Lepisosteus oculatus: one gene and its partners. The protein of the gene in region 1 purifies or fractionates together with the protein of each later gene. This does not show direct contact. Links are inferred from orthologs where the notes say so. Each region holds a gene or a part of one and is shown on either strand. Other genes may lie near its edges.

What was found.
Region 2: the proteins of tsr1 (region 1) and ltv1 purify together in Homo sapiens (co-immunoprecipitation; 4 studies listed by BioGRID and IntAct, counting the BioPlex papers as one, with this or other methods). This does not show direct contact. The link is inferred for Lepisosteus oculatus from reciprocal best matches to the Homo sapiens genes TSR1 and LTV1.
Region 3: the proteins of tsr1 (region 1) and rrp12 purify together in Homo sapiens (affinity purification with mass spectrometry; 3 studies listed by BioGRID and IntAct, counting the BioPlex papers as one, with this or other methods). This does not show direct contact. The link is inferred for Lepisosteus oculatus from reciprocal best matches to the Homo sapiens genes TSR1 and RRP12.
Region 4: the proteins of tsr1 (region 1) and rps23 fractionate together in Homo sapiens (co-fractionation; 3 studies listed by BioGRID and IntAct, with this or other methods). This does not show direct contact. The link is inferred for Lepisosteus oculatus from reciprocal best matches to the Homo sapiens genes TSR1 and RPS23.

What each region holds. Positions count from the first base shown.
Region 1 is NC_090721.1:10,489,944-10,496,919, forward strand, and holds the start of tsr1 (pre-rRNA-processing protein TSR1 homolog), read right to left. Parts: upstream 3,011-6,976; 5' UTR 2,980-3,010; coding exon 2,862-2,979; intron 2,174-2,861; coding exon 2,070-2,173; intron 1,677-2,069; coding exon 1,460-1,676; intron 1,252-1,459; coding exon 1,117-1,251; intron 570-1,116; coding exon 151-569; intron 1-150. UniProt on the Homo sapiens protein: Required during maturation of the 40S ribosomal subunit in the nucleolus.
Region 2 is NC_090712.1:1,926,633-1,934,645, reverse strand, and holds the start of ltv1 (protein LTV1 homolog), read left to right. Parts: upstream 1-4,998; 5' UTR 4,999-5,271; coding exon 5,272-5,274; intron 5,275-5,517; coding exon 5,518-5,649; intron 5,650-6,243; coding exon 6,244-6,435; intron 6,436-6,759; coding exon 6,760-6,847; intron 6,848-7,308; coding exon 7,309-7,441; intron 7,442-8,013. UniProt on the Homo sapiens protein: Essential for ribosome biogenesis.
Region 3 is NC_090699.1:16,787,466-16,795,149, forward strand, and holds the start of rrp12 (RRP12-like protein), read left to right. Parts: upstream 1-4,677; 5' UTR 4,678-4,809; coding exon 4,810-4,948; intron 4,949-5,933; coding exon 5,934-6,157; intron 6,158-7,426; coding exon 7,427-7,510; intron 7,511-7,684.
Region 4 is NC_090699.1:56,700,452-56,708,428, forward strand, and holds the start of rps23 (small ribosomal subunit protein uS12), read left to right. Parts: upstream 1-4,971; 5' UTR 4,972-5,064; coding exon 5,065-5,068; intron 5,069-6,327; coding exon 6,328-6,487; intron 6,488-7,325; coding exon 7,326-7,446; intron 7,447-7,977. Other genes in the region: atp6ap1la (ATPase H+ transporting accessory protein 1 like a), read right to left, coding at 1,195-1,295. UniProt on the Homo sapiens protein: Component of the ribosome, a large ribonucleoprotein complex responsible for the synthesis of proteins in the cell.

The DNA of each region.
Region 1 (6,976 bases):
TCTCTACAACTACAAGACCACCCCTTTAATCAATCAGCAGGAAGCAGTTAAGGGAGCTCTGGGTTGTTTCAAGAAAGTCCAAAGTATTGGGGCTAAACTGAACTCTCAGGGTGATTGTGGGGTGTGTCCAGAGGAGGGGGGGGGTCAAACCTTTGTCTCCATGTCCCCTTCCTTGCCAGGCGGGTGCTCCCGGGTGCTGAGGGGCAGGGGGTCCTGGGGCGCATCGATCTGGCTGAGCTGGAAGTCCCCGTGGCCTGCGATGTGCACCAGCCTGTTGACGCCGAGCGGCCGCCCGCGGACGTACCCCGAGACCTGCAGCGTGCCCAGCCCCCCCGGCCCGGGCGCGAAGGAGGCCCGCTGGGCCAGCAGGTACGGGCGCCGCGAGCGGTACGCCAGCTGCCGCTGCTTCTGCGATCCCAGGTGCCTCAGCAGCAGCACGGCCTCCTGGGGGGTATCCAGGCTGAACAGGCGTCCGTCGGGGAACCGCGCCTCCACGAGGCGGCCCAGCGCCCGCCTGGCGTCCGTCCGCTTCTTCATGGGCAGCGCCGCCACGCCCTGACACACCAGAGCTGGGGGCACAGAGGAACAGCATCACCTGGGATAGAAGCGCACGGCCTGAACTGCACAGGGTGGCCCCCCAGCATCCCAGGACACTCCGGTTTCATCGCCAGCCTAGCGTCATCTGGCTGCCAACTGCTTCTTTACAGTTTGCACACCCTCTCAATTTCACACTGCTAGTTGTCAAACAGACTCATTACTACAACCATCAGACCTGCGTAGAGATGATAAGGCACAGTACCCACTGTCCTCTGACACACCCACTGAGGGGGAGGAGTCACAGCCTTTGGCATGCCCACTGAGGGGGAGGGACCCTCCTCTGACACGCCCATTGTGGGGGGGGGAACCTCCCGAGACACGCCCACTAAGGGGAGGAGCCACTCACAGCCTGATGGGAGAATGAGCACCCATTACAGGAGTGACGCTCTCTCCCCGACTCACTGCCAGCTCACAGACACCTCGTAGCTCTGATCAGTCTCTCACTGTTCTGCGTCTCATGCAGCTGTGGGTGGCGAGTCTGGAGCAAGATGGGACACCAGTGGCCAGGGCGGTGCTTACCATGGCTGGGCAGGCCCTGCGCGAAGAGGCAGGACAGGCAGTAGTCCCCATAGCTGTCCCAACCCTCTACAGGGTCCAGCACAAACAGCAGGGTGTCCACTACTTTCGCAACATCCAGGACAGCATGCAGATCAGCTGGGGAAGAAGAGAGAAGAGACAGTCAGTGTCGGTCCAGCAGGTGACTCAAGATCAGGGACAGTCCAAGGGCCAGTGTCAGTTCGCCTGGTCAGTATCAGTCCAGCAGGTGTCTCCCAGTCAGCGGGAGTCTGGCAGTCAGTGTCAGTTCTAACGCGACCAGTGGCAATCCAGCAGGCGTCTCCTGGTCAGCGGCGGTCCAGCGTACCCATGTCCGGCCTGAGGAAGATGAACCTCTGTTTGAAGCGGGGGAGGACGAGCCCGAAGCTGCCCTGGCCCCCCACACCCTCTCGCACCAGTCCCATCTCCTCGCTCCGCAGGAGCTGCAGGACGCCCTGAGTGCCAGTCCCAGCATGCAGTGGGACCACTGCCACCAGGTGAGGGGGGCCATCCTTACTGCCCAGCTTGCGCCTCTCCAACAGCACCTGGGGACAGAGGCAGAGCCAGGAGACTGAGACACCTCACCAGAGTAAATATAGCCAGGGTCATCACACCCTCACTCACACACACTGATACACAGGGAGACGCACGCACACTCTGACACGCACACACACAGGGAGACGCACGCACACTCTGACACACACACACACAGGGAGACGCACTCACGCTCCGACGCGAGCACACAGGGAGATGCACGCACACTCTGACACACACACAGGGAGACGCACGCACAGGGAGATGCACGCACACTCTGACACACACCGGGAGACGCACGCACACTCTGACACACACACACCGGGAGACGCACTCTCTGCACTTCAGCACACAGGCAGGAATGCCCCCAGACTGCTCTCAGGCGCAGAGACGTTCAGTCTCACCGTGTCCTTCTTGTTCCTGCGGAGCTGACTGGCCTTGTGCCTCCGATCCAGCTTCTTCAGCGCCTTCCTCTGCTTCCTGCTGAGAGCCTTCACTGCCACACGGCCTGGGGGGGACAGCAGGAGGTCAGCACTGCCCCCTGCAGGCTCGGTGCACACTGCCCTGTGACCCCGGGGTCAGCGCCTGCAGACTGGCACTCTGCTCAGCCACATCCCGCAACATCGCGAAGCGCAGAAAGCGCAGGGCCCGCTGACCCCAGTGTCTGAGGGGAGCTGCTGTATACCTGACCCCGAAACGCAATGTCAGGCTCTCACACCTCGAGCTCGAACACCGCCCGCCTTGGATTCGAACGGGAGGTGACGTCACGGGGACAACAAAACAGCCCCGTGAGTGTCGCGAGGGAGGCAAGTCTGAAAACGTCCGAGCTAGAGCGCTCCTGCGCCACCGCCGGCGAGTCTGCAAACCTGTCGCTCCCAGGCGCACGAACAAGCTGCGAAAAGTGGAAACTACTCGTGTGGAAGGTGAATCAGTCAAATCTAGCGCGGATAAACAAGTTGCATAAACAGAATAGACTCTCAAAATGAAAACAAAAATAAGATTTAGGACTTTCTCTGTCCTGAAGGTGGTCCCGGGTATTAGAAATCGTACAAGTTACCGAAAGCACAACATCAGCACCGACGCCACGAGACCGCTTGGCCATTTAAACGCACGTGTTCCAGCGCCGCTGCCCAGACCTGCCCTCCTCAACACAACCGTGGCGGCTACGCAGCCCTCGACCCCCGCCGCCCGCTTACCCTTGTTCTCCCGCTCAATCTCCCCCTTGGTTCGGTGTTTGCCGTGTTTGTGCTGCTTGTTTTTCTGTTTGTATATCCCGGCTCGGTGAGCCTGCTGCTGCTCGCCAGCGGCCGCCATCTTTCGCGTGGTGCATAGGGCTGTTTTTCCCAGGGAGTACTTCCGGGGTCACAGCGCTTTGACCCGGCGCCATGATGCAGCTGAAATAGCGTATTTTGGAATTTGGAAGTAAAACGATTATCATTTGTAGGAAGTGCACTGACATTTTTTTTTCAAAAGGCGTCACATAGGTGTATTCCTTCTGCTGCTAAGCTGTCGTCAGCGGGCGGTGTACCGTGACAGTCACAGTCCAGTCGTGAGCGGGGTCTCCCCTGGCATCAGTACAAGATGTACAGGATACAGGTGCTGCTTGTAGGATCGAGTCTCAGTTCGGGGCAAGCATGTGCCTGTTCACCGGTCTCAGCTCTGGGTGTCGCACGTCACCCCTTAGATATTATAACAGTCTTGCGTCCACAGCATGACTGTCACGTTCTCAGCTCGTAAGAAGAACCTTTTACACGAGCAGTCGAAGTAGTCAATTAAACAGATAACCTAATTATTTTCCAATTTAGACACATATAAAAGTTTTCTTAAATCATTTTACAGTTGACACATCAGAATAACATACAGTAAAATAATAATCACGTGCTACTCGTTTTGTGACATCCGTGAGTTTTATGTCAAATGTGAAACACCCCACATATCATTATTAATTAGATAATTTGAAAAATCATTTGACTATAAACACAAAATAGCTAGCTTTTTGACGATAAGCATTTTTAATTGTTCGGAAATGTGATGCGAATAAATTTCAATCCCTAAAAACTTAACTAAAATGAAAATACCGATCTGGACGCAGGACACTCTGGCCGCTAGGTGGCAGCATTACAAGAAACAAAATGAACGGAGTCAGAAACGTTCCCAGTCCCCGGCGCGCCCCCTGCTGGCCATGCCTGTGCCGCCGACCCCGGAAGAGAACGGGCGACACGCCGCCTCGCCGTGATGAGTCCCGGATCCGGCTCGTCCCGCAGGACCCGGAGCCTTTGCCGCAGGAAGTCCGGGCGGCGAGATAAGAGCCGCTGTGCAAACTTTCCGTGAGGCCCGAGCTCGGCTTTCGCCTTCCTTCTGAAAGCGCGACCTCGGGAGCCTCTTATATTCCTGTGGTAAAATATCTCCATTCGCCACCACGAGCTGTAAATGATGTAATGGTCCTGTAAGACTGGACCGCGAAGGTCCTGCTTGGGACGACGTGACATACAAGCTTAAACAGATTAAAGTCTCTTCAGACGAAATATGTAGAATATTGAATAAGTGAATTATGAATTATCCCACAATAAAACAACTGCAGGCAGAAATGAGCTACACCCACTCAGACACGTTTCTATAAATAGGATTTACACATGAAACAGCCAAAACACAGGCTGGGTGCTGTGCTAGACACATGCCTCTGGGAGCACTGCTCTCTGAAGCAGCTCCTTCTCCCTCCTCGTCTCCCTCTCCTTGTTTTGCTCATTAGCCACCTGGCAAAGTCTTTATTTTATCACTTTCTTGGCCATATGTAATTTCTTGCATTAGGAATTTGTCTTTTCACATACCCCAGCTTGCTCTCCATGAGACACAGAGACAGGGAGAGAAGCTGGGGGTCAGAGCGCAGGGTCAGCCATTTATACAGCACCCCTGGAGCAGCTGGGGTGAAGGGCCTTGCTCAGGGGCCCAAGAGAGTAGGACTCCTCTGCCGGCCACCGGATTCAAACCGGCAACCTTCCAGCCACAGGGGCAGATCCTGAGCCACAGAGCCACCGCTCCACCACAGGGCGGAGATCCTGCGCCGAGCTCAGCCCCCAGCCCTGCTGTACTGGCAGTGTCATCACCCGCCAGGCCCGGCTCTGCCAGGGATGGGTGGGCTGGATTTGGCTGGTAAGTTCAGGGACTGCTGAGGCACAGCGCCCCCGTGTGGCTGGGCAGGTGTCTGTTTTTCTCTGCTTCTACGGCAAACAGGGCAAGACTTGGGACCCCCCAGCTGGGGACAGAGACAAGACCGAACCGACGCCAGGAACGGGTCACAGGGAAATGCCAACGACACCGCCCATCCCTTCCAGCCCAGGAGAGCTGTAGGCTGTCAGTCAGCAGGAGGCGCTGTGGCACCAGGAAGGGTTTTCGGCCAGGTGAGGTCCTGTAGTTGCAGGCCTTGTTTTAAATGATATCAGGTAACAGTGCGGTTCAGTTAGTTCACAGAGCTAACAGAGCCGGTTAAGCCTGTGGGATTGTGGGACTGTGGGCGGTCTGAATAAAATTCTGTCTGATCCTGCAATTCCAAGATCCCTGCGGTGCTCCGGGTACATGGATCAAAGACTCGGAGGCGCAGTCTAGGTGTAGCTGTCCGGCTCAGCGAAAGGCAGGCCGCTGTACTGCTCTCGCTCGCTGGAAGTATTGTGCATATCGAAGTCACATTTGTAGTGGCGCTTGTGCCGTAAAACGGAGGCACTGTGTCTTTAAAACACTTGAAGAACAGAAATTGCCCATTTCCTTCATAACCCCCCCCCCCATCTGCTTATACAAGCAATCATAGCGGCGGAATGCGTCTCCCATTCATGAGAGGGTTTCAGCGAGCTTCCTGTCCGCCTGGATACAGAGCCCAGGCCAGCTCATTGGCAGGAGGCGCGAGGCTGGACCGCAGCCAATCAGGAGTGCCTGGCAGTGATTCTGTGCCGTGATTGGCTGTGCCCGCAGTGGGGAATAGAGTGTTGCTGTCTTGTCTATGAACTGCAGCAATGGCATACCTTTTCACCGTTTTAGAGATCAGCTCATTTAACCTACATTTTGTCAGTGTGGGAATGAGAGATTACTCCACCATGCAGAAGAACAGTTCTGGGTTTTGTTGTGTCTGTCCTTTTTGAATTTCATTGCACATTTTGAGCCCTGTGATCCCCGATATTGTTATAGTAGGATCCACTCACATACATTTTTCAGTTTGTCTTTGGGTAGCTAATGCTTTGAGAATCTGGGTTCATCTCTCTTGGTGCATTAAATTGGGAAATATGTGGACCAGTGATTACATTTCTCAGACTGACAACGTCTGCTTGGGGTTAGAGCTGAGGCACAGGGAGAGGGGCAGTGTGGGTTAGTGGTTAGATCTGAGGCACCGGGAGAGAGGCAGTGTGGGCTAGTGGTTAGAGCTGAGGCACTGGGAGAGAGGCAGTGTGGGCTAGTGGTTAGAGCTGAGGCACTGGGAGAGAGGCAGTGTGGGCTAGTGGTTAGAGCTGAGGCACAGGGAGAGGGGCAGTGTGGGCTAGTGGTTAGAGCTGAGGCACTGGGAGAGGGGCAGTGTGGGCTAGTGGTTAGAGCTGAGGCACTGGGAGAGAGGCAGTGTGGGCTAGTGGTTAGAGCTGAGGCACTGGGAGAGAGGCAGTGTGGGCTAGTGGTTAGAGCTGAGGCACAGGGAGAGGGGCAGTGTGGGCTAGTGGTTAGAGCTGAGGCACTGGGAGAGAGGCAGTGTGGGCTAGTGGTTAGAGCTGAGGCACTGGGAGAGAGGCAGTGTGGGCTAGTGGTTAGAGATGAGGCACTGGGAGAGAAGGAGGTAGCTAGTGAGTGGAACTTTGTTTGCTTCAGAGAGGGGGAAAAGAATATTATCTATTTAAGGTCTCCTGGTGTATTTGTTTTCCATTTGTTGTTGCCATTCTGTAAAACACGAGGTTAAGGTGGTGTTGAAGTTTCACCAGGGGGTACAGGAGCAGAGCAGTATCTGTATTAACAGGTCTCTAGTTCAGACCGGTGGGAGAGCTTACAGGCTGCAGTGATACACCAACGATGAGCAGCTATTTATGGAGGGATGGGTGGTAATCAGCTCAGGAGCTCAGGAGCTGAGCCCAGCAAGGCCTGGGGCACACACACGTGTACTCACACACATGAGCACTCCTACGCACACATTTATTCACACTTGTGCACATTCCTGAATGCACATTCACATACACATGTGTGCATTCTCACACACACACACGAACACTCCAACATACACATTTCCTCACACACATGCACACTGACATACGCTAACACACACGTACACGCTCACACACACTCC
Region 2 (8,013 bases), on another chromosome or scaffold:
TCTGTGCTTCAAGACTCTGTCATGCATCACAGTGCCGAGCCGAAGAGCCCTAGAGCCAGGCTTTGCCTACCGGGGAAGATGGTGCCCAGGACAGATCCAGCCTCCTGTGCCCAGGGCTGGTATTTTCTGTGCAGCTGTGGAGAAAGATTGCTGGGCACAGCACCAAGTTGCTTAGAACATAACATGCCTGTGTTCAGTTTTTGTTACATGCTCTCCTGTGCACCATGTAATGTGAAAGACAGTCCAGTTTCCTTGAAGTTCTCAGGATCTTTGCACACAATGAGAAGAAAGCTGGGCTTTTAACACATCTCCCAGACCTCATCCTTCTCTCCCTGCACACACTCAAACTTTTTTTGTTCCACGATAAAACTCAGCACTGTGGAAGGATCCAGTGTTTTGAAAATATTGTCATCTCAGTTGTATTTATGGGCCTTTTGTGCTAGCTGAAATAGTCTTGGAATCTACATGCATAAGCGAGACATAGAGTTCATCTTCTGTTAAAAATCAAGAGCCCAGACAGGGGTCAGACCAAGCAGAGAGGTGGAAGATTTGGTCTAGGGTTATTTTTTCTTATGTGGTGTGCTTCTTAACATTGCCAGTATTCATAATTAATCTCAGTAACCGTAGATACAGTATGCACTTTCTCAGAAATAATGTAAGTCCTGTGTATCTGGCGTCATAGAACTTTCTGTATGTGTGCAGCGAAAACACTAGATATCAACACCTCAGAGGAGGTAAAAACATATTGATTTTCTTTCCTGTGCAAGCCTGCCATCCTCCCTCTTTTCTTCTAAAATTAGAGTTTCCAGAAATGGTCCGGCTACTTATTAAGATGGATTGTAAATAATAGATGGTATCTGGCTTAAAAGCACCATTATAGGGCTCTGGAATCTCCCTTCGGAAAGGACGGAGCAGATCAATATCCCGTCTTGTTTGATACCGTAAATAAAGCCTCTCAGAATTGTTCTTGGGCTGTTTTCGGGAAATGGAAAAGGCCAAAACTGTTTCTGTGAGCCCTGCAAGAGTCATGATTGGAGTTGCATATGTGAGGAGGAGGAAATATTTCACCAGTCCTGCCCCTTTTCCCCTTGACAGTTACCCTTGGCGGTCAGGTTTATTTTTTTAATGCTCTGATTTTTTTTTAATGTTGCCCTGATGGAGTTTTAATGACATCAACTGAGGCCTAGGTGATATTTTAGAAACTGTAAATGTAATTTATGAACGTAATTATTTTTAAATTCTATGTGTCCTGTACAGAATGTATATAAACTTCATTAAATTCTCATTTACCTTCGAAGGGAGTGTACTTGTAAACAATTATTATATTATGTGAAAAATCATCGAGTATTTTTTAAAACCTACATTGTTACAGTATATAGTGAAAACATTTAAAAACACAATTGCATATATTACTTTGTATATAACACTGTATTTATTTCTGTGCCAGCTACATTGCAGTGGAGCAGCTCTTGAGCTCTGATAAACAGGAGTTCTTTGATGGACGTGACATAGTTTCAAAGCCTTTCTCCAAACAGTCGGCAGCCTCAATTCACTTGAAGTGTGAATGTGGAGTTTCTGTGAAGAGATTTCAGAGGGCTCTGTTTTATTTACTTCATGTTGTGAAGAGGCATCAAAAGTATCATGCAGACATAAAATATGAAGTGTCCCACATTCCAGAACTACACATCTTAAATATTTTGCATGTAGCTGATGTTGAAGAGGGAACTGGATTGTGTTGGAATGACTTCTTCATCTCGTGCAGAATGCCCTTTGTTAAAAGCCGCTTAACATTGATTTGTGTAAATTCACTGCAAAACATTAAGGACACTTTGTATGTTAAACTTTGCTGCCATTCCACGCTCTGGGCTGTCCACGTATTGTAAAGTGTGTTTGAGTTGCCAATTGTAAACCTTTTTTGTAGAATTTGAGGCACAGCTGTGGTTGTAGGATGTTTTACTGAAGCATCAACGGACTGTGTCCACTGCACAGTGTAGTATGAAACTACCAAATGTACAATAAAAGGGTTTTACTGTAACTTTTGTGTGTCAAAGCTGTGTGTGGGTATTGCTTCTTACCTTAAGCTTGTTTAATTTTCTTTAGAGGGTGGTATTTAAGTAATGTAGTAGAAAATTGTTGTCCTTTGTTAAACAACATCCTATGATTATATACAGTATTGTAGTACAGGGGTGGACAACTGGTTCGAGAGGGTTGCGGTACTGTTCGAATAACAGGTCTTTCACACTTGGAAGCTCGGTAATCCCTAACAATCAACTGATTTAACTTCCATTGGTACAATATGAGGAAGGCACTCATCCCTGGGACCACAGGGCCCAAGTAGCACAGGTTCTCTGGATGGAATCCAGAGATCCAGAAATGATCTCAGGACCCAGGCGCTGTGAGGCCGCAGTGCTCCAGCATGCCACCTGGAGCTCCCCTGTGACTGGCATTGTTCACTGGTCAGGCACATCTCTTCCCACAGGGTCCCTCAGTACTGTACATCCAGGAGCTGTCACCCACTGTGTCCCCTAGGTGCTGCTCCAGCTGCTCATTGCATCGGGGTAAGGCAGAGAATTACTAAACCAATGGAGCTACAGGGTGCGAGTCTCAAGAAACCTGAACTGAAATTTAGACAGGAGGTTTTAACCTCTACCATATGATATATAGAAATGCTCAGCTTTAGACCTCTATTAGGACCCTGTTCTGGGAACTCTCACACCTGATGGTTCTAGTTTCCACCAAGCTCTTTGCTTCATTGAACTAATGAGTTGGTTAATAAGCACTTTTCTCAATACTTTTTTATGCTCAAGCTGCAGATCTTAAGATAAAGTATATCCAAAACACAGGAGGTTAAAAAGCAATGCCCAGCTGTTTTAGGATAGAGTTCAAGTGAATCCTACTCCCAGCTTGACTGGTTCCTCTGAGTTTTTGGTTCCTCTCCTCCGTTGTCTTCTGGTCTTTTCTGTTCTGTATTGACTACACGTACGGTCACTTGCATTGTAAAGCGCCTTGGGGCAAACTTTTTGTGAAAGGCGCTATAGAAAAATAAATTGAATTGAATATTAACGTTTCTACATTTCAAAACACGTTTTTCCATTAGTAGGAAACATTTAACTGTTCAGTTTTTGAAGATGGGTCTTTATCTTAGGCCAGAAGAGGGCACTCTAACTGTTTCTACCATGTCCGGCATAACTATGGATATAAACAGACATTGACTGTCCGATCACTTCAACAGGTAACCAAATAACTGTGCTCTTAGACCAACATATCTCTTCCATTATTTCAACATCGTGATACACTAACTGCCACAAAGCATTGTTAGGTGAGGAAAGGTAATGAGCACAGGATATTAACAGTAGTACATGTATGACGAGAGGCTATAGGTTATCCGTAATGTCTACAACTAAATGGCATTTCACAGGAATGACGAAGTCATGCATATTCCAGTATTCCAGGCATATCGGTCATGTTATGAGAAATACGATTAGCCTCCAACATTGGAAAATAGCATTATGATATACTAGAAAACAGATGTGATTTATTTTTTGCCAGCAGCCATATCATGCTGTAACACACAATGTATATCCACTGAAGCTCAGCAGGTGTGAGCCTGGTCAGTACCTGGATAGGAGACCTCCTGGGAAAAACTATGGTTGTGGCTGAAATTGGTGTGAGTGGGACAAGTTGGGGGCGCTCATCCTGTGGTCTGTATGGGTCTGATGCCCCAGTATAGTCACAGGGACACTATATATCCAAGGGCGTTTCTCGAATAGAGTAGGGGTGTTACCTCGGCGTCCTGGCCAAATTCCCCCCCGGACTTTACCAATCACGGCCTGCTAATAATCCCTGTCTCTGAACTGGCTTCATCACTCTGTTCTCCTCCCCACTGAGAGCTGGTGTGCAGGGAGTGTACTGGCGCACTGTGGCTGCCGTCACATCATCCAGGTGGGGCTGCACACTGGTGGTGGTGGAGGGGATCTCCATTACCTGTAAAGCGCTTTGAGTGGAGTGTCCAGAAAAGCACTATATAACTCTTAGGAACTATGATGACATCTATGGGAAGTGTAGTCAGTCTCATTATCACCATCATCGTCATTATTATTATTATTATTATTATGATCTCAAAATCATTTGATAAAATCGCCTTTTCTGTTCATTTTACATAGCCTGTATAAACCGTCACTACAGGTCGTTTCAGGAAGGAAAATTCAGAAAATTGCAAAAAATCCTGTTTCAGTACCCTGTGCGTAAACTGTCGTACAGTATTATCACTTGGAATACTTATTTAGCTTTTTTGAATGTTTAGCGCTAACGAAAAATAGTTAATCCTCCCCGAAAGTCTGCTTTATATCTTTTATTTCACAAATATCCCTATCGCGTATCCAAAAAAAAATAATTCTGAGAAGGATGCAACCTAATGGATATTTACTCTAGATATCAGGATGAGCCCTTATTGTTCCCCTCGACACTTGAACAGTTCTGTGCTATAAAGGAAAACAAGTTTCAGTGGGCCAGTAAGTAGCAGTTCCTTCGGCCGCACTATTTTCAGGAGTAGGATTGTCAATCCCAGTGTCCTGGATAAATTCTAGTTCATATATTGAATTTATTTGCTCTGTAGTGGGACTCTCCCCTGCGTAAAACACTCTGGGATACTATGGAAAGAATGATTAAACACTATATAGTTGTAAGAAATTAATATTTCTTTTGAAAAAACTCGAATCTCTCTTATAGCCTATTTTTTTTTTCAGTGTATGCATAGTTGGTATCTGTTGCATTTGTCACGTGTAATCCTGTTTTGTACATTTCACCGAAACCCCGTCAACTTGGATTGCATGAATTTGATTAATATGTCTTGGCAAGTGTTCATCCGAAGGTCTATTTTCGATTACTTTCGTCTGATGGAAAGTACCAAGTGAAGAAAACATTCTTTTTCGAATATTTATATTATTTTATTTTGAGACGCCACAAAAATGTCCTATTTGAGTGTCTTGCTTTATTGTTATGGCAACATTTAAGATGAAGGCATAATGGCTCATTTAAAACGCCTATGGGGACACCGCAGCTACACGAATGAGATGGTCTTTTCCGTAATGGCGCTGGTAGCGTGTTCCAAGCTGGGGTGCAAGCGTGGTTTATACGCGTTTTAGAGTAAACGAAATTAATTAGGAAGGTGTCTGTTGTCATTTCAGATTAAGTTACCTGCGAGTCAGAAGATACATCCACTTCTACCGTAGTTGCATCTCTCTGGAATAATTACAGAACTTCAGCAAAGGCATGGTATGAATCTTTACCAATTACGCTTTTAACATTTGTTTTCAGTTTCTCTGCTTGTGTTGTGTTCGTTGTGTTGAATTTATCTTAACTGGGTTTAATGACCTTTGCTGCCCAAGACATTCCACTTTGGGTTAAACATTCAAATAAAATAAAACAGATAATTCTGAATTTCATTATGTGAGGTATGAAATCCATTTCTAATGTGTTTTAATAAACTGGGGACGTCGTACGTATTTATTTTGAAAGCCTCACAAGAAGAAGAAGCCTTTCATTGAGAAGAAGAAAGCAGTGACCTTTCACCTGGTGCACAGGAGCCAGCGAGACCCCCTTGCCGCGGATGAGAAGGCACCCCAACATGTGCTGTTACCTGCCTGCAAGGTGAGCCTGTCACTCGTCTTCTGCATTTCCTGCTTTGTTCCATTTCATTTATACGCCATCAAAAAGAACTGCCAAGGAGGAGTTAAAAGTTAATGTACTAAATTATTTATTGATTGATTGATTGATAGATACGTTATTGATCCCGTGAGGGAAATTGCAGAAATTCCTAATGCAAGAAATTGTATGGGGCTAATAAAGTGATGTTATGTTTTTTTTTAATGTACTAAATGCATTAACAGAACGCTTATCAAAACTTTACCAGAGGTAAAGACAGCTCTACTGTCTCACATATCTTCAGCCCTACTGTGTGTAATAACAACAGCCAGTTTTGCACAACTTCAGTCCTTAAAAGAGGGAGAACAGGCTTCACCAAGTCACTGCTTTGAGCTCCCTGTGTTCTCGCATTTAACCGAACTTAAGTAGCAAAGAAACTGTAGCAAACAAAAAGATCTGCAAACGACAATAGCAACTGTGCCACAACTTTCTCGTTTTTGAACAAATTATTGCTTGCATTTTAGCTAATGCTGTGTTTTTGTATTCGAGAGATCAGTGTGTAAAAGGAGGTGATTCACGGAAGATCTTTTCTTTTTCCAGGCAGATGCAGAGAAAAGGAAGGAGGAGCAGAGGGAGTATGGGGTGTTTTTTGATGACGATTATGACTACCTGCAGCACCTCAAAGAGCCCTCCGCCTCCACAGAGCTGGTCTCCTCCAGCAGACCGCACACAGACGGGCGGCTGCTCGTCACTGAAGGCGGCCCCGTGCAAGAGGAGGTCGAAACCATCCCTGTAAGGCCCTGTAACACACTGCTACAGACCAGCTATCTAATCAGTGCTGATGCTGCAGTGAAAGCATTCGTTTAGTCTTTTTATTTTTTTAGGTGTCATATGTTTTTCTAGTAAGAAAAACTATCAAGGTAAACGTCCAAAAGTGCTTCCTGCAATAATATAATTTTTCTATCAATCAAAAGTACAATGAGCCACCTGGTCTCAGAAGAGTATATGAGGAACCCGTAGCTACAGCCAGGGCTCAAGGATGGCACACGTATTTCACACCTGAAAGGAGAAATCTTCCCTTTTATAACCTTCAAACTCCTGGGTGTCTTTTCGCAGGCCGTTTCCATCAACCTGCCTTCCTCTGTGTTTGCCTCGGAGTTCGAGGAGGAGGTGGGACTGCTCAATAAAGCGGCACCAGTTACAGGTACGGCGCTGTGGCGAGGGAGCTGTGAGCGATGGGAGTGCAGTTAGAGCTGGTTTTTCACGGTGTGACCTGACACTGGCGGAAGGAAGGATACGGGGCGTGGAAATGATCCATAAACGGATCGAGTATGGCAGGAGCCAGTACTAGCTTGCTGGGAAAAAAGGGAGCACTTTTAGTTCTGACGTAGGAACCTTTGGAAATCATTAAATATCCAGCTACAGATGGAACTAAATTAACTGGAGATTAACTAGTTAGAAGATCGGTATTACAGCAATCATAAATCGGATAAATCCACTCAATACCACTCAATGCTCCCTGCGGTATAGCTGTAGAGGGCTGTAGTGGCTTCTCTAGAAGATGTCTTTCTGTATAGACTTCATCGCCTCCACCCCTGGTGCAGTGCAGACTAGTGTGTCGTAGTGGCGTCTGCACGGCATTCACCCTGTGCTTCTGTCTCCAAGGCCCTCGGCTGGACATGGATCCTGACATCGTGGCGGCTCTTGACGAGGACTTCAACTTTGACGATCCGGATAACATCCTGGAGGACGACTTTGTCCTGAAGGCGAACCAGCCTGGGGGGGACGCCGACTTGGGGTATGTCTGTTGCTCACTTATCGCTCTCTGTGTCGACCTACAAACCGCGGAGCTTGATCCCACCCTCCTCTGTATATCTTCCCTGTCTGCCCGTGTCAGCGTGGAGGAACGTAAGAGCACTAGAAGGGCCCTTCCTTTGCTAGTAGCTTTTTGACTCAACGATCGATCTCATCCAGCCATTTCTTGGAAGAAGCCATGGCATTGGTTTCAACACTGCTGAAAAGTTTGTTTCCAAAAACTGCCTCCTGTTCTCAGTTTCGAAGGCACTTATCAGTAGTTTCCATGCTTCTCTGTTATCTGGTTCTCTGTTGGTTCTGAATAAGTTAAGGGATCCCAGCCTTTTCCAGCAAGTGACTGGCAGTAATGGGGTCCCTGTCAGGAGCAGCGCAGTTCTAGGTGTTGATGGTGGTTTTGCGCCCCTCAGCCCCATGCAGTGCCCCATGGGAATGGAGCTGATGTCCCACATTGGGTCCTGACCTGTGCAGGCTGCCGTCTTTCAAAAGTCACGCTTTTCAAGACTGAGACAGAAGCTGCGTCTTTCGTTCGGAACTCTGCTACAGGACGGAAAGCCT
Region 3 (7,684 bases), on another chromosome or scaffold:
TTTTCTTTGTTAGTGTGTTCAATTAAACACAAAAGTGAAATGTAAAAATGTACTGGCCTACAGAATTAGCCTCTCATCATTTGATCCCCAAAGAGATGTCTGCAATGTGGCTGAATGTTCTTACAATGGAGGCTTTCAAGGTCAAAGATTTACTAGTGTACATTGCAGTCCGGAGTGCCCTTCTTGTATGAGACAAGGCTGAAATGCATAATCGTATTATAAATGAAAAATATAAGTGATGAATATGGCACAATTGTATACCGCCCATGCCTAGCTACTGGGTGTTCAAAAAGTCTAAAAATAATGTTTGTGTGACCTGGAGTAAGGCATGGGATAGAAATGCCGATCTTGCAGCAAGGAGCCCAAAGTCCTTGCACAGCTGTGCTTGCAGGCTGTCAAGGGAAATATGAGTTACAAGCACATTAGTCAGTCCCAGGAAACTGCAGAGCAAAGTTGAAAAAGTGTTCTCTGGAACTGGGAATCTGACTCTTCCTTGCTCCAGGTGTGATTCAATTTTAATTAAGAAACTGTTTAGCTTTTTGCACACTGAAATGTAGATGTGTGCCTTTAAGAAAATGGAATTCTGGAATGCTGGAGTTACTCACTAGGTAAGATTCAGGAATTGCAGTAGGTTCCTGTACAGACATGACATAGTTGCCTTTAATTAATGACTACATTTTAATCATCAGTAGAGTAAATTATTTCCAGTGTGTCCAGATCTTATGAAAGGTATCACTCCCCTTATATTTAATGCTTTGGGTTTACCTATAGTAGTTTTCCATGCTTTATATTCTCTTTCCTGTTAAACACTTGGTGCCAGAAAGGACCTATAGAGAGCAGACTACATTTCTGAGATGGAGAGACTCATGGTATATAAGGTCAGTTTCTGATAAGCTGTTATTTTAAAGGTGTGATGTTCAATATGCAAGTTAAGATCATGTAATTATCACATTATCACAAACTGATCTCAGCAAGGTCTTTGCATCAAAGTGCTTTACTTACACCTTTGTGAAAGCCAGTTATGCATTGTTGCAAGGTTTATTATATGAGTTGACTAAGTTGGTTGGTTCTGATTGGTAAAAAATCAGAGCAGGTTCCCTAGTGGCGTACCTCCTAAAATGCCAGACTCTGTCATTTGCTGGTCCATTTTTATTCCCAGGTCTAAAGAATCACAGATCTCCTCCATCTCTAATGAAGGATAACTAATGAGGATTTAGCTCTTTTTTTACTCTCCATTGTGACCTCTGTGAAGTACATAACTGGTGAGGCTAGAGGCACATCCTCCAAGCCAAACTCCACTTCTTTGACTCACTCCTGAACATGGCTGACTCTTCATCATCTGACAAGAAGTTCAGGGACATTAGTGTTTGCAGTTGCCAGTGGACAGTTGAGGTAGGTCATAGGAGTGAACTGGGTATTCCAAACTTAAGGACAAAAGGTTTGTTTAGCCTAATTGTTTTAAATCTTTTTTTTTTCTTTCACAAATATTCATATAAAGTTATTCGTAGACCTAGACCTTTAAATTAAAACCCATGGTGGTCAACCGTCTTGTGGTTCTGTATCTTTATCCCAAAGATGCTGGCACTCTTCAAGAAGTGCAGTAAGTTTGTGAGGTTTTTCTTATTAGGTCATTTTTCTGCATGGGTTTCTTTGGAATCTTTAATGTTCAATAAGAACTTTAACTTATCACAAGGAAGATTTGCGGTATGCATATGTTGTATATGATAGTGACCTTCAAACCAGGGTTAATTAATCATTGCGTAGTACTACAGTACATAGACAATAACAGTTAAAAATGAAGAAGTAGTTTCCTAGTGGACAGCATTAATAAAGTCACGGGAGCAAGGGGTGACTAGAATTAACATAATGAAATAATCATACTGAAGTGGCTGTTGCTAATTAGTGCAATCTTAGACAACATTGCATTTAGAATTTTAGTGTACAGAACAGCACAATATTTAAATAGTGGCAAGCTGCCACATACAGTGTAAGGGTTGAGGGTACTGCATGGTACAGCCACGATCTTTTCGTCTTCTAACTCTGAAGTACCATTGTGTGGTTTTTCATGGTCTTGGTTATCAAACCATTAGGATTTAGATTGTAATAACATGTTTTCCATCCTTTTTAGCATCACTTCACTTGCTGGAGCACTGGTCTCACTTGCAGTCCTGCAGGAGCCCATTAAAATACTTGATTAACCAGTGTTCTGTTTTTCCTCCAGGAAACTTGTGATTTCCTCGTTTGCTTCACACAGCATTAAAATTCCTTTGTAAGAATGTATTTTGTCTGAGTGTGGGATTGGGGGAATTAAGTTCTAATGAAATAAGTTTCATTCTTTGCAAAGGTTTATGAACGGTGTCTTCTGTGTTGAGCTATGGAAGTGTTGCATTTATAGTGTCATGCTTCCAGACACAATGCAGGTGAAGCCAGGTTTGGCATGGGACTATAAAGCCATGAACATATTTGTAGTGACTTGGAGGAGACTGGATTAGACTTCTTTGTCCAGAACCTGGAAACCAAGAAGCCATCTTATTTTCACTGGGCTATTATTTGCAAGTATAAAAACACTGGCTCATAAACTGATAAAACATGCAAATTCAACAAGCATATCCCATGACTTCCAAGAGGGTGTAAATATATAGAAATCTGTATATTTAGAAACTTTAAAATATATATTCTAAGATAGGAAATGAGATAATTTAATATGCGTACAATTTTATTTTACAGGTGATGTGTACATTTATAAGCAGATTTAATTTTCATCCTTGTTTTTTTTAAACTTGTCAATTAAAATGGAAGATTGTGACTCCTGTAGTGTTGTCTTTTTTTTTTGTCTTTGGTTATTCCCAGTAGTGTACTTTTAAAAAGTCTGCAACATACTGCAACTGCTATGATGAGCCTTAAACCTTTAGACTCAAGTGCCACCTTGTGGACTGTGGAAAGAAATCTACAGAACAAAAGGAAACAGAGCTGGCACTGCAGACGTTCTGCTGCCTTTAGGGGTGAGTGGTGAGTGATTGTAAGAAAAACTAGGACATGGGCCAAGCATGTCTTGAAGAAACAAAGTATAGTTTTAAATCACAATATTTCCTGATCATTCTTAAATCATCCGAGTAGAATTAATCATATGATTGCTACTCAGTTCGTAACTAATGGAAAAGCTGGACCATTTGATTCTAAACTGACACTGCCTGTTAACATTGTCTTGCCCAGACTTGAATAGTTTGCAGGTTGTGAGAAGATGGAGGTGAAGGTTTACAAATTTGCCTATTTTAAGTTATTCCTAACTGAAAATGTATAACAAGCATTGGAGATGTTTATTGTTGGGCAACCATCCATTGTCTGAAAATTGCTTATTCCCGGTAAGGCACATAGCAACTTAGAGCCTGTTCCAGAACCACAGGATGCAAGATGGGCCTATTCCCTAGACCCAACACTAATTAAACTAGCCATTAAGACATTTAAATGAAGAGCTCCCAATACTGCACTATTAAACCCCTTGCATCCTTGTGGAAAAAGGGAGACATTGCAGTTCTCTGCTTCCTCACAGATCTTATGTCCTGGGCTAGATTTCAGAGTGAGTTTTACGCTTAGCTATTCTAAATCTTTGTGGTCGTGATGAAGGTGTCCTGTCCAGCCTGAAAGTAATCCACTCCTCTATGCTCTGCCTTGCATCCCAAGCTTGAAGGATTGTCTCTAGTTTCCTGAGCCTGTGCGTGTGGTTCCTGCTGAGCGTGTGATTTCTCATACATGAATGTATTTAAGAACTATACATCATCAGAAAGCTGTGCCATCAAAATACTAGCTCCAATACAGAACATGACATTAGAAAACATCTGAAGTTGGAATAACTGTCTGATCCCAAATGTGTGTAGTGATTCAAATAGTAATTTGTTTAGTCATGGAGGAACGGCTGGTAGTCAGAATAACTCAAAATTACAATACTAGGCTGCAAAAGGACAAGTGGTTTTTAGTTTTTGTAAGATATCTTGCTCATTCTGAACAGGTGCAAAAGATCCCATTATTTCATCTAAATAATATAAGTAAAGGAGTAAGGACTGGTTTCATGTCTGGTTTGCACTAGACCCGGACTGGTTTGTGTAAGGGCTTAAAGGAATATGGTACACTGGCAGCCTGGAGGAACTGGACCTTTTGTAGTCTTGAACACAGGTCCATGAGGAAATCAATGTTCAAAGGCGCTGACAAAGTCAACCCAGTGGACGTCTTCAGAATCAACAGTGAAAGATGAACCAGGGGACACAAGTGGAAATTATGGGGAAGTGCACTTAAAGCTGAGAACGGGGGGCAGCTCTTTTACTTCAAGGGGTAAAAGAAAAGCGCTATGTAAGTGTAAGGATGGTTTATTTAAAGGTTTGTGGGAGTAATTAGGAAACGGTAGGAATGAATTCATCTGCTCATTACCTGCTCACTACCAGATGGACTAGTTTGGTAAAACGAACTGGTACTGTTTTTACTGCATGTTTTTAAGTCCGTTTTTTTCTGGTGCGAATCAGGATTTCTAAGTGTATTAATCTACTGATATGAGGATAAAATATTTAGAGTCCCGTTTTTTGTCCATTATGATATACAGTTGTTAAATCGGTTTCAAAAAGACACTTGCTGTGCCTACAGAAATCACTGTAGGCTAACCTAGTACTGTACTGCAGGCTGCTCCACCTTGTGGAGGGAGATGTGTGGGTCTGCTGGCGCCTGCCTGAATCCCCCCATGTGACGCCGGTCGATACACAGGCGACTCGGTGATCTCTTCAAAAATTCAGCAGTTCTTGTGTGCGGAGTTCGCCGAACAAGATGGTGAAGTCGGGGAAGCTTCGGTCTGGAACCGCACAGAAGCTGAAGCGATGGAAAAAGGGCCACAGCAGTGATTCAAATCCGGAGACACGGCGCTATCGGCAGGCGGCGAGAAGCCGGTTCTTTAGCCGGCCTTCAGGTGAGGATCCCGCAGTCTGACGCGCAGGATAGGTCGGGGCTTTCCGGCCTGCCTGTGGAAAACACGTGGGTACACGGTCGTAACCCAGGGTGGAAATTACTGTGAAATCTGCTGTTTTGTCAACGTAGTGTTTTTCAGAATTGGGACCTGTGTATTACATGTACTGTGCTGGAGCTAAATGAAGAGTGAGATAACATGTCATAAACTTAAAATCTTAGATAAACTCTCGAACGTAAGTCGCAAACTTATAAATATCGCTAAATATATGACAGTCTCGTATCTACAAATATCGTTTGCTTCCTTTACCTTAAACGATACACGCTTGTTCTGCTTTGGAATAGAGATCATTGGTAATTTTAGTTCTCATCGGCAACACCACGTGTGTATTTAAAGAGACAACGACTACCAAGTTTGTCCTGGCAGCCAGTTCAATCGACTGCTGGCTGCCTTGTGCCACACATTGTCATCAAAACTGACTTCGTTTGAATATCCAATCTCTTAGGACGGAAAACGTCAGTATAATGTGTTGGACGATTTTGCTCGTAGATCAGTGAGCTTTAAATTTTAGTGGAAAAAAAATCGAAGCGTGGACTTCATCCCAGAATTATTTACATGAAATAAAACAAATAGTCTGATTTATAGGGACCAGGGAAAGTATTGTTTTCAGCTGAACCTATTCAGTGCATCAGACTTTAAAAAAAAATACTTGATGATTTAAAAGCTTTAAGAAGTAATTGGATTATAAACAGTACAGTAGGGTACAACAGCAGAGTCCCGCCTGGGGTTTGAACCCACTTCAAGTTACAAGTCCAGCACCCTAACCCTGCTCCACACTGCTGCCCCTTCACAGCGCTTCATCGAGTGAATGATGCAAGTGCGTCCCCCCATTTTTTTCTCCAGGTTGATCCTGGGGCCTGTTTCCAAAACTAAGCGTTCCCTCCTTTGCGGGCCGCTCGGCTGGGCTCTTTTTGTTTTTGTTTCCCAGAAAACAGTGACCTGACCGTCGATGCCCTCAAGCTGCACAATGAGCTGCAGGTGGGGGCCCTGGAGAGGCAGGAGGGCGGCTCCGACCGTGCCTGCTCGGCGGAAGGCCCCGCGCTCTCCGAGAGGACCTCCGGCACGTTCCTCAGCGGCCTGTCTGACTGCTCCAACGTCACCTTCAGCAAAGTGCAGCGCTTCTGGGAGTCCAATTCTGCTGCTCACAAGGAGGTTGGTACCTCCGGGACAGGCGGGGGGGGGGCAGCTACAGCCCCCAAGAACGGACGGCCGCTCTGATTTTCGTTTCCGCTCTGGTTTGAGTGGATCACAAGTCGTGTCGCCTGTTTTTAAGGTCTGAACCAGTAGCCATTAAAAGTGCCTTTAAAATCTGCCAGATTCTAGCCCTCAGGGACTGGAGGTGCCCATTAAAAACTTCAGAGCCCTCGCATAACGATGTATCGTAATTGAATGTAATGGCTCTGGTTGGGATCATTGTCTTCAGTGATCTCGGGGTTTTCAGCAGAGCTCTGTGTCTCACCCTGTGCGCTGGGGGCTGCTGGTCCCCCTGACCGCTGCTCTCCTCGGCTTGTGAATTCGGGTCCCGTCTCCCTCCTGCCTCTGCTGGGCTGGCAAACAGGCTGGACAGCTTGACTCGCAGTCGCTTCCGGGCCTGCAGTGTAACAGTGCACAGTGAGGGGAACAGCCGTCTCTCCTCTTCACTTTGCTGGGAGACTTGCAGTGCAACTTAAGTTACCGTTTCATGCTTTTAACATGTTTCAATAACACCCCCTCTCCCCTGGGACACCTGATCTCCATGGGCTCTCTAAAGCGCTGGTGTGGCGCCAGTCCCACAACCTGTCTGGTACTACTGCCTCTAGAGAAGGAAGGCAGAAGCCGGTTGAGTAGCTTGCCCCGGGTTCGAGCCTGTGCCCTGTCACTAGCAGACTGTGCCAAAGATTCCCCGCGCGGCAGAAGACAGCTGGCTGAGCGCTCTTTGTATCGCATGCTCGGTTATTCTCAATTGGCGAGTTCTAGTAGTTGTTTTGTTATCCTACTAAAGGGAGATCGTTGATGAGAGGTGTAGTAGTGGTGGGTCAATTGCTATCCAGTACACTAGAAATGAGCTGGCTGTTGTGTGCTGTTAGTCACATGAGCAGAGCACGAGTGGGAGAAAAACTGCTGCTCTCCGAGAACGTCACCGATGACAAGGATTCCTCATGATCGCATCTTCCTCACTGGTGCCTACCCCCCCATTTTCAATAGAATTTATCTCTTGCATTCGAGGGTTTCAGCTTTTTCAGGAGTGTGTCCCTTTTCTAACTTGGCATTCAACTGTAAGTTTAAAACCATTTTAGTGGTATGTCAGACGGTTTCTCATATTTACTCATCTGCCTGCAGAGTGATCCCAGACTTATCTATTTTCACAAGTGAGGTAGTGCAGGAAGCGTTGGGTTTGTGTGAGGTCGTCTGTGTTCAGCGTGTCCCTGGTCTGTTTTCCAGATCTGCGCGGTACTGGCTGCGGTGACGGAGGTGATCCGCGCTCAGGGTGGGAAGGAGACGGAGACGGAGTATTTTGCTGCTTTGGTGAGACGTGGACCTGCTTTGTGCCCTTGTGTACTGGAAGGACACTGTGTATTGATGATGCAGAAATCCTCTGTCCTGGCTATCAATTATTAACAGTTCACGTTACCTCTGATGATTACGTTTGTTGTGCCCAAAACAAACATAATATAACACTCACCTTTAAAGTGACCCAAT
Region 4 (7,977 bases), on another chromosome or scaffold:
CTCAAACTGCAGTGGTAACTTTCACAGCCATATCAAAAATCAAATTATGTCCAACAGTCTTGATGCCCATAGTCGAAGATCATGGGCCACCCAAAACAGAAAAAACATCAATGTTCTCTTAACATTTTCAAATGTAATTAATCATATCATCCAATTTATCTCACAGGAAGAAATTATTCCTAAAGGATCAGGTCTTATAAACTCCACAATAATCAAAACAAACCAAAAAATAACAAAATTCCCAAAGGCCATGTTCCTGCATTCTTTTGTAAATTTCATCAAGTTCATAAGAAGGTTTTATCTATAATTCATTACACAGTAAGGGGATTTTAAATTTTACATGAAAAAATCTTCTAATATAGCAATTAAAGGAGAATTAACTATTATTAAGCCTCCTATTGTGTGCCATAAGTAACAGAGCTACCATTTTAACCGTACATTTCATCATAATTGTATATTCAGATTAACAACATCTGTTTCTTTTATGATACGTTTCATCATTTTTTTCTGTCGATCATGATAGGACAGAGGAATGGGTCATTGTGTCTCAAAGAATTAAGAAATGATCTCTTGCTAAGACATCATTGATAGTGACAGGTTTTCACATTTGTTGTCTCTAAATACCTATAGGAATGACCTGAAGATCATTAGATAACAACTCAGTACTATTCTGGCTTGTGTCACTTTCAATTATGATGTAGTGGACAAGGATTTATCTTGCGAACTGATTCCCACAAACATTGTATTTCTCTCATCTATTTAACAATTATATAAAACTTTTATTTTATATCACGCCTTTAAAAGTGGCCTCTCAAAGCACTATATGGTGAGAGACAAAAGGCACACAATGAGAGAAGACAGAAGAATTACACAATGACAATAAGGGTTTGGAATTCTGTAGGAAAGCTAAGGGGGAGACACAGAACCGGACAAATAAAAGCCAATGTAAAGAAGAAGGTTTCACTTTTCAGTTTTTCATTCAAATTAGTTTAAAAGTTTAAACTAAAAAAAGAACAATCTCCGAAATTGCATAAGTGAAGAAAACTCAGTGCAATAACTAGGCTTTGGCTTTCCACTTTGCAAATATGGTTTAAAGCATTAAAATGTGCAAGAGAATGCAAAAGACATTGTAATTTGAATGATGTAAAATCCCCTACTGTTTCCTGCAGTTAGCATACAAATGGATTCACTTACCTCTCTTCCACCAAAGCAGGCACCTGATCATATGACTGTGATAGCTGTAGAAAAACAAATAATATTAAAAGAAATATCATAAGTGTCTGGTGTTTTTCCATGGAGACGACCAGATGAAACTGCCACAGATGAAGGCTGCTTCATAATCTGCTCTGATAATATAGCCTAAACCTGAGCTCGCCGACTGACACAGCCAGCAGCCAATAGAAACAGGAGAGACAGGATAATCATGTATCACAGTCACACTCACCCACACACACACACGAACATGGCTTTTGGCCAACCCTGAAAATACTGCTTCGCTCCGTTTCACCTTCCTCACACAACCCTCTTTTTAAATGAAGAGCACCTATAATGGCACAGTAACCAATTGAATTCTTCAGCTAGGCTGAAGCAGGCATTTGACATTTTCAGAGAGAGAAATAAAAATATGGTAATGTGACCTACATTCTCACTACACTGGCTCAATAATTGAAATTAATTCACTAGAGATATGTGTGTTACCCACGGAAAAGCTATAAGTGGAACAAGATTGTCTAATGAAGTGGAATGAAAATGTTGCAAAACAAGACTGAGGGAATTACATTCTCCAAACACTGCTTTTCCACGCCTTTAAATGCACAACAGCATTGCACATTTCAAAGCACTGCAAAATGTGTGTCTCAATACCACAAATGTGAGACATACCAAATCATACCAAAGTATTCTACAGCACCTTTGAACTCCTCTCACATACACAACCACAATCTTTCTCCTGAAAACAATTCCCTTTTGAACTATAATTAATTTACATTGTAAACCTTGATTAAAGATTATAGAAGTCATTATAGAAGTCTATATAGAAGTATAGAAGTCATTTTCCATTTTTCAGAAAGAAAATCGGAATTCTAAACCTGCCTTTATTATCTTTATTCATCACTGCAGAATGTAGTGCTGATCACTTTTAAGGCTGTCAGAGGCTTACATAGATGGATGATATTAGGGGTTAAAGCTCTACATTTAAGGGTTATGGGTGCTGATCTCCACTGTGTACATTTTTGTTGCACCCAACCGCAAGAACATAAGAATGCCCATCTTTTGTTTAACAGTGATTGCTCTATACCACTTAGCTGTAGAACAGGGTAGCAACATTGTTGGGGGCAGCTCTTCGTGTGATTAGTGTCCCATATACGGAGCTGTGTCTCAGTCTGCTTAATGTTCCAGAAACCATGTGTGAGTCAGAAGGATGAATGCCATTCTACAGTCATTCTGTAGGTGCTGTAAGTACAGTGTTCATATAATTTGAGATTATTCATAGTGGTAGTCAGCATATGCTCGCATGAATACTGATATTTATAATAAAAGCAACAAAAATCATTAAAATCTTAAAATGCTCATTCGTTTTAAATTGTGATATTTGGGGTTTGTAGCCTTGGTCCATAGTGGTATTAAGCGAGATCAGAATAATCTCTGTGGGATGAGTGGTGTCAGTAATGGGGGTGTCACCGAAATGGAAACACTTCAGGGCAGTTCATTAGCAGATGTGTTGGAGGCCGTTAACACGCATCACTGCAGCAAATCTGAAAAAAAAAAAGATCAACAGCATAAGCAGAAACCTGTTACCCACGCATTATGATCCTCTTCATTCTTTCTACAGACACTTCAATTACACTAAAAAAAAGCACTAGGATTACCCCATAAACTGGAGGCAAGCATATACTGTAAAAATAGATTTCCTCTGCCACTTTACTTTCAACCTGTTTCATCATCCATGTTCTGCTTTTTTTAGATGGTACCTCAGGAATGTACAGAAGTGCCCCCTGAGTAATAAATGATTTTTAAAACTCTAATTGTTCAAAGGTAAATGATGGTGTCTTTTAATATTAGTAAATTTAATTTTAAAAATGCCACAACTGGTTTTCCACTTTTTCCATTTGTTTTGGAACACTATGTTGTGACATATTGAACCTTTTCTATGTGCTACATGTACTGAAAAGTAAAGATGCTGCAATTCTGCGTTCTCTTGATGTACAGTAGTGCCTTTGGGGCTCTAGTATTAAAATATGTCATAATATTCTAATAGGAATCACATCATTGCCCTTGTTATGACAAATGACTTGACTTGACTTGAACTTTATTGCCATATGTAACCGGTGCTGGTACAATGGAATTCTTACTGACAGAAAGTCTCTCGATTGTAAAACAAGTGTAAAAAAAACAAAACAAAGTGCAAACAGTGCATCAAGACAATGTACAAACAAACAATAGACAATGTGCAAGTAAACATGCAGACAGTTTGAATGTAAACAATACAGACGTGTAAACAATGACTGGAGACGTACAATAAATAAATTACAATGAGGTAGATGGTGATGGTGTAGGTGTGGTCCGAGGGGGATGGCTAAATGTGTTCGCCAGTCTCACTGCTTGTGGATAGAAGCTATTGAAGAATCTAGTGGTAAGTGTCCGTATGCTCTTATATCTCTTGCCTGAGGGCAGTGGGGTGAAGAGCTCATGCCCGGGGTGGTAAATGTCCTCTATGATGGCCAGAATTCTACCACGGCAGCGGTCCTCATAGAGCTGTTTAATCTCGGTGAGACCGCAGCCGATGATCTTCTGGGCCATATTGACCATTCTCTGCAGTGCCTTTCTTTCTCGCGAAGAGGTGTTGCCATACCACACGGTGATCCCGTTGGTGAGGACGCTCTCGATAGTGCAGCGGTAGAAGTTCACCAACACATGTATTGGCATCCCCCATCGCTTGAGGCACCTCAAGAAATTAAGGCGCTGAGCCTTCTTCATGATAGAGTCAGTGTTCACAGTCCAGGTTAGATCTTTAGAGATGTGAATTCCCAAAAACCTAAAGCTGGTGACTGTTTCCACTTCCGTTCCATCAATACTGAGTGGGCTGTGAGTGTGTGGCCTGTGTCTCCGAAAGTCCACTATTAGCTCTTTCGTTTTCTTTATGTTCAAGTCCAGGTTATTGCTATGACACCACCTAAGCAGCTGTACAACTTCATCCCTGTAAGTGGACTCGTCATCATCACTGATCAGTCCTATTATAGTGGTGTCATCGGCAAACTTAATGATGCGGTTGTTGCTGTGTCTTGCTGTGCATGGAGCTCTATATGGAGTACCTTTTTTCATAATTTAATCAACGAAAGATTTTGGCATTTTACATGTAAATATTTTCTTGCCTTGCCAGTCAAAAACAGAATAGATTTACAACTGTTCAATAAAAGTTTTATTTTTATGTAACATGTTAACGTTTTTCGTTTTACCTGCAAACTACATAGACAAAACAACAGTATTTTCACTTTATTTTACTGAGTTTATAACATTTCATGGGAAAGGATATATCAGTCATGGAAAAATACTATTATTAGCTAATTATTATTTGGATGACGACGATATCGAATAAGACTAACTTTTTACCCATCTATACAGTTGGGTAATTTACTAAAGCAATCTCGAGGGTATATATTCTGCCATTATCAGTTATATCTGATAATATTATTTTATTACATTTAAAAATAATTAAATGTCCGTTATAATTAAATTAAAAAGAACACCGAAACAAATCAAAATGACCAGAAGTGTACGGTAAGACATGCGCATAGAGCAATTACTTTTCAATCAGGCGTGCAGAAGACACCTATTATTTCCAGGAAAGGCACTAATAAAAGTGTCTGAAATATTCCCTGAATATTCATATTGAAATAAGTAAATATTTTGGACAAGGTTTTATAGATTGGTACATTTTAAAAGTACGATCATTACAATACATAAAAAATAGGCGCTTTCTAAGTTCCTTATTGGGTCTTCCGAAAAGCCATTGTCGCGGTGATTGCTGGGATCGCTCTTTCCTGCTAGGGCGCTGAGACGAGAAACATGGGTAGGTATTGTATTTTGCTGGAAAAAATACATTTTATCTGCATTTCAGTCTCTCCGAGGCAATAAAAAGGCGTGTAAGTGGTTTATAAGAGTATATTAATTGTATTTGTGGTATTTTACTGTGATTGAGACGATTTTTTAAATGCATACTTGCATACTTGTTGGGTAACGTGGAGAGCGGCCATGCTGCATTCGCCTGTGCGCCACAATTTGGCCGAGGTATTAGCACTCCGGTCCGTGATTCGGAGTTGTTTATCAATTAGAATATGAAATAAGGATTTAAAAAAAATGTTAACAGTATAGCGTTTTCTTAACTATTATAAAATAATAGTTCCTTGTTACTTGTTATACCGTTTAACCGCATCGTTAACAAGGTAAGAGGAAAAGGCTTAGCTGAGCGTTTGATTTGAATCCTGTATTCTTGTGTGTTTTTTTTGTAGAAAAGCATTTATAAAAAAGGGCTGGTGTAAAGTGAATGTTTATGTATATCCTGATGTCATGCGATGTAAAGGCTTATGCGGACGTGATTTCCAAAAATTTAGAGGTGTTGAGTAAATTTATAATAGATAAAACTCCTTTTTAGGTACGATTTGTTTTATTCATGGTTCTTTAAATCCATTAAGACATCGGTGTGCAGTCGTAATTTGGATTCTAGACTATTCACAAGTGAAGTGGTTTACTTGAAGTAAGTTGTCTATCTCTGTTGTCAAGTACTAGGGAGTGGACTGGGCATAACACTAAAACACTTTATGTGGAAAACACATAAGTTGCCTTAGAAGAACATTATAAAAAGCTGGTAAATATTTATATGTATTGTGCGATGAATTGTTTCACCTTTTAATGGAGAAATGATGTTGATAATGGACTGCAATGAAAAGCTACAGGTGTGTACTAAACACTTAAATCACTTTTGTTTAAGTAACTTGAGGCACTGTAAAAGCATTTTAAGCAAGATTCTCAATAAATGTTATGTGAATTTTGATAACTTGACAGTTGTAGACAGGAAGTAAAAGGTGACAAATATTGAGGCCTGGCAATATAACTCCTGTCAGATGTGTACACCATGAAGTGCTTTGAAAGAATTGTGGAAGATTAAATACTTATCATATTTTGACTGCTTTCTTGTTGTAGATTATAGGTACACAAGAGGACTATACAGGCCTACATCATCTTGCAGTACCATTTGCTCTTCTTATTAATAATCTTAGATCTCCTGGAATCAGATTCTGCCCACTTAATCTTTGCCTTTCCTTTCCTCAGGCAAGTGTCGTGGTCTTCGTACAGCCAGAAAGCTGCGCAATCACCGCCGTGAGCAGAAATGGCACGATAAGCAGTACAAAAAGGCTCACCTGGGCACTGCCCTGAAGGCCAACCCCTTTGGTGGGGCTTCCCACGCTAAAGGCATCGTCCTGGAGAAAGTGTAAGATTTCCTTTGCGTTCTGTATAAAGTAAATCTTTCTAGCTTGCTGTATTAAAACATTCACTGAGACGGTGTTGTCATGCGGATTCTGTTTGGATTCTGAACCTCTGAGGGAATGTTCTTGAAATAATGTTGAAATGGGCGAATGTTGTCGGTGATGCCTTGTGAACAGCTAAGGGGTTCCAGATTAAGTGAGCGTTTTGAGTGTCCCGTTGATTAAAAGAAAAGGATATTTTCAAATTTAAAAGAGTGTGCTCTGCACATTCATGTGATGCTACATTTAAAGATCTGCACATCCTGCAACCCAAATCAAATCAAAGTTTATTTATCAAATGCACAACAATACGACGTGCAGCAGTAGTTGCTGGCAATGAAATGTCTTTCTTTCGAGCTCACAAGAATCACAAAATCAAAAATCACTAAATTGAGGTTATGTTTTTTGAAATTGAATTAAACTCAATATGGGTAGAGCTGCTATGTGTCCATGGTGTATGCAGTATATACAACTAGTGCAGTTATGCTGAATACAGTGAAAACTGTCCATGTAGCCATTACAGGTGATTTGCTAAAGGAGCTGCAGGTTGGCTATTTAGCAGTCTTATTGCCTGGAAGTAGAAGCTGTTCCGTAGTCTGTTTGACTTGGACTGAATGCTTCGGTACTGTTTACCGGATGGTAGGAGGGAAAACAGTTTGTGACCGAGATGACTGGGGTCCTTGAGAATGGACCTGGCCTTCTTCAGACATCTAGCTGAGTAGATATCCTGGATGTTTGGTATCCTGATATCCTGGACCCCCAGCTCTTCTTTCGTAGTGAATGAATGAGTTTTTTCTCCCACAGGGGTGTTGAGGCTAAGCAGCCCAACTCGGCCATCAGGAAGTGTGTCAGAGTCCAGCTGATCAAGAACGGCAAGAAGATCACTGCCTTCGTGCCCAATGACGGCTGTCTTAACTTCATTGAGGTTAGTCCCAGGGCTGGCTGGGCTGCAGCCTTTCTGGAACTGTACAGAACTTTGCGTAATAGGCTAGAATTAATTTTTACCTAATGTTTCATTTCTTGAAATGTTTTAGTCAGATGGCAATCTAATTGTTCAGAGCCTGGATTTTAGTATCAAGTATCTAAATTGGCTATTGCATAATACTAAGGATATTCTCATGATACCAATTATTTTAGGATTACTGGAAAGATCATATTTTTTGATAATGCTAAATGTGTTACAAAGTTATGCATATTTCATAAATCTGTGTTGTCTGATTTCACTTCCAATTGGTTATTTTTTCTTTACCTTGAAAATGGGTAATACACAGATTTTCAGCAACGTCTGTAGACGTATACCTGGAAATTGATCCAGAAAATTACAGATGACTTGTTTTAAGTCTACATTAAAAAAAAACCTTAAAAGCCCCTTTAATATCTTAAGTTCAAAGGAGTGAAATCACTAAAACTAATTAGTTCTAAGCAGTATAAATCGATTCTGCCTGATGGAAACAAA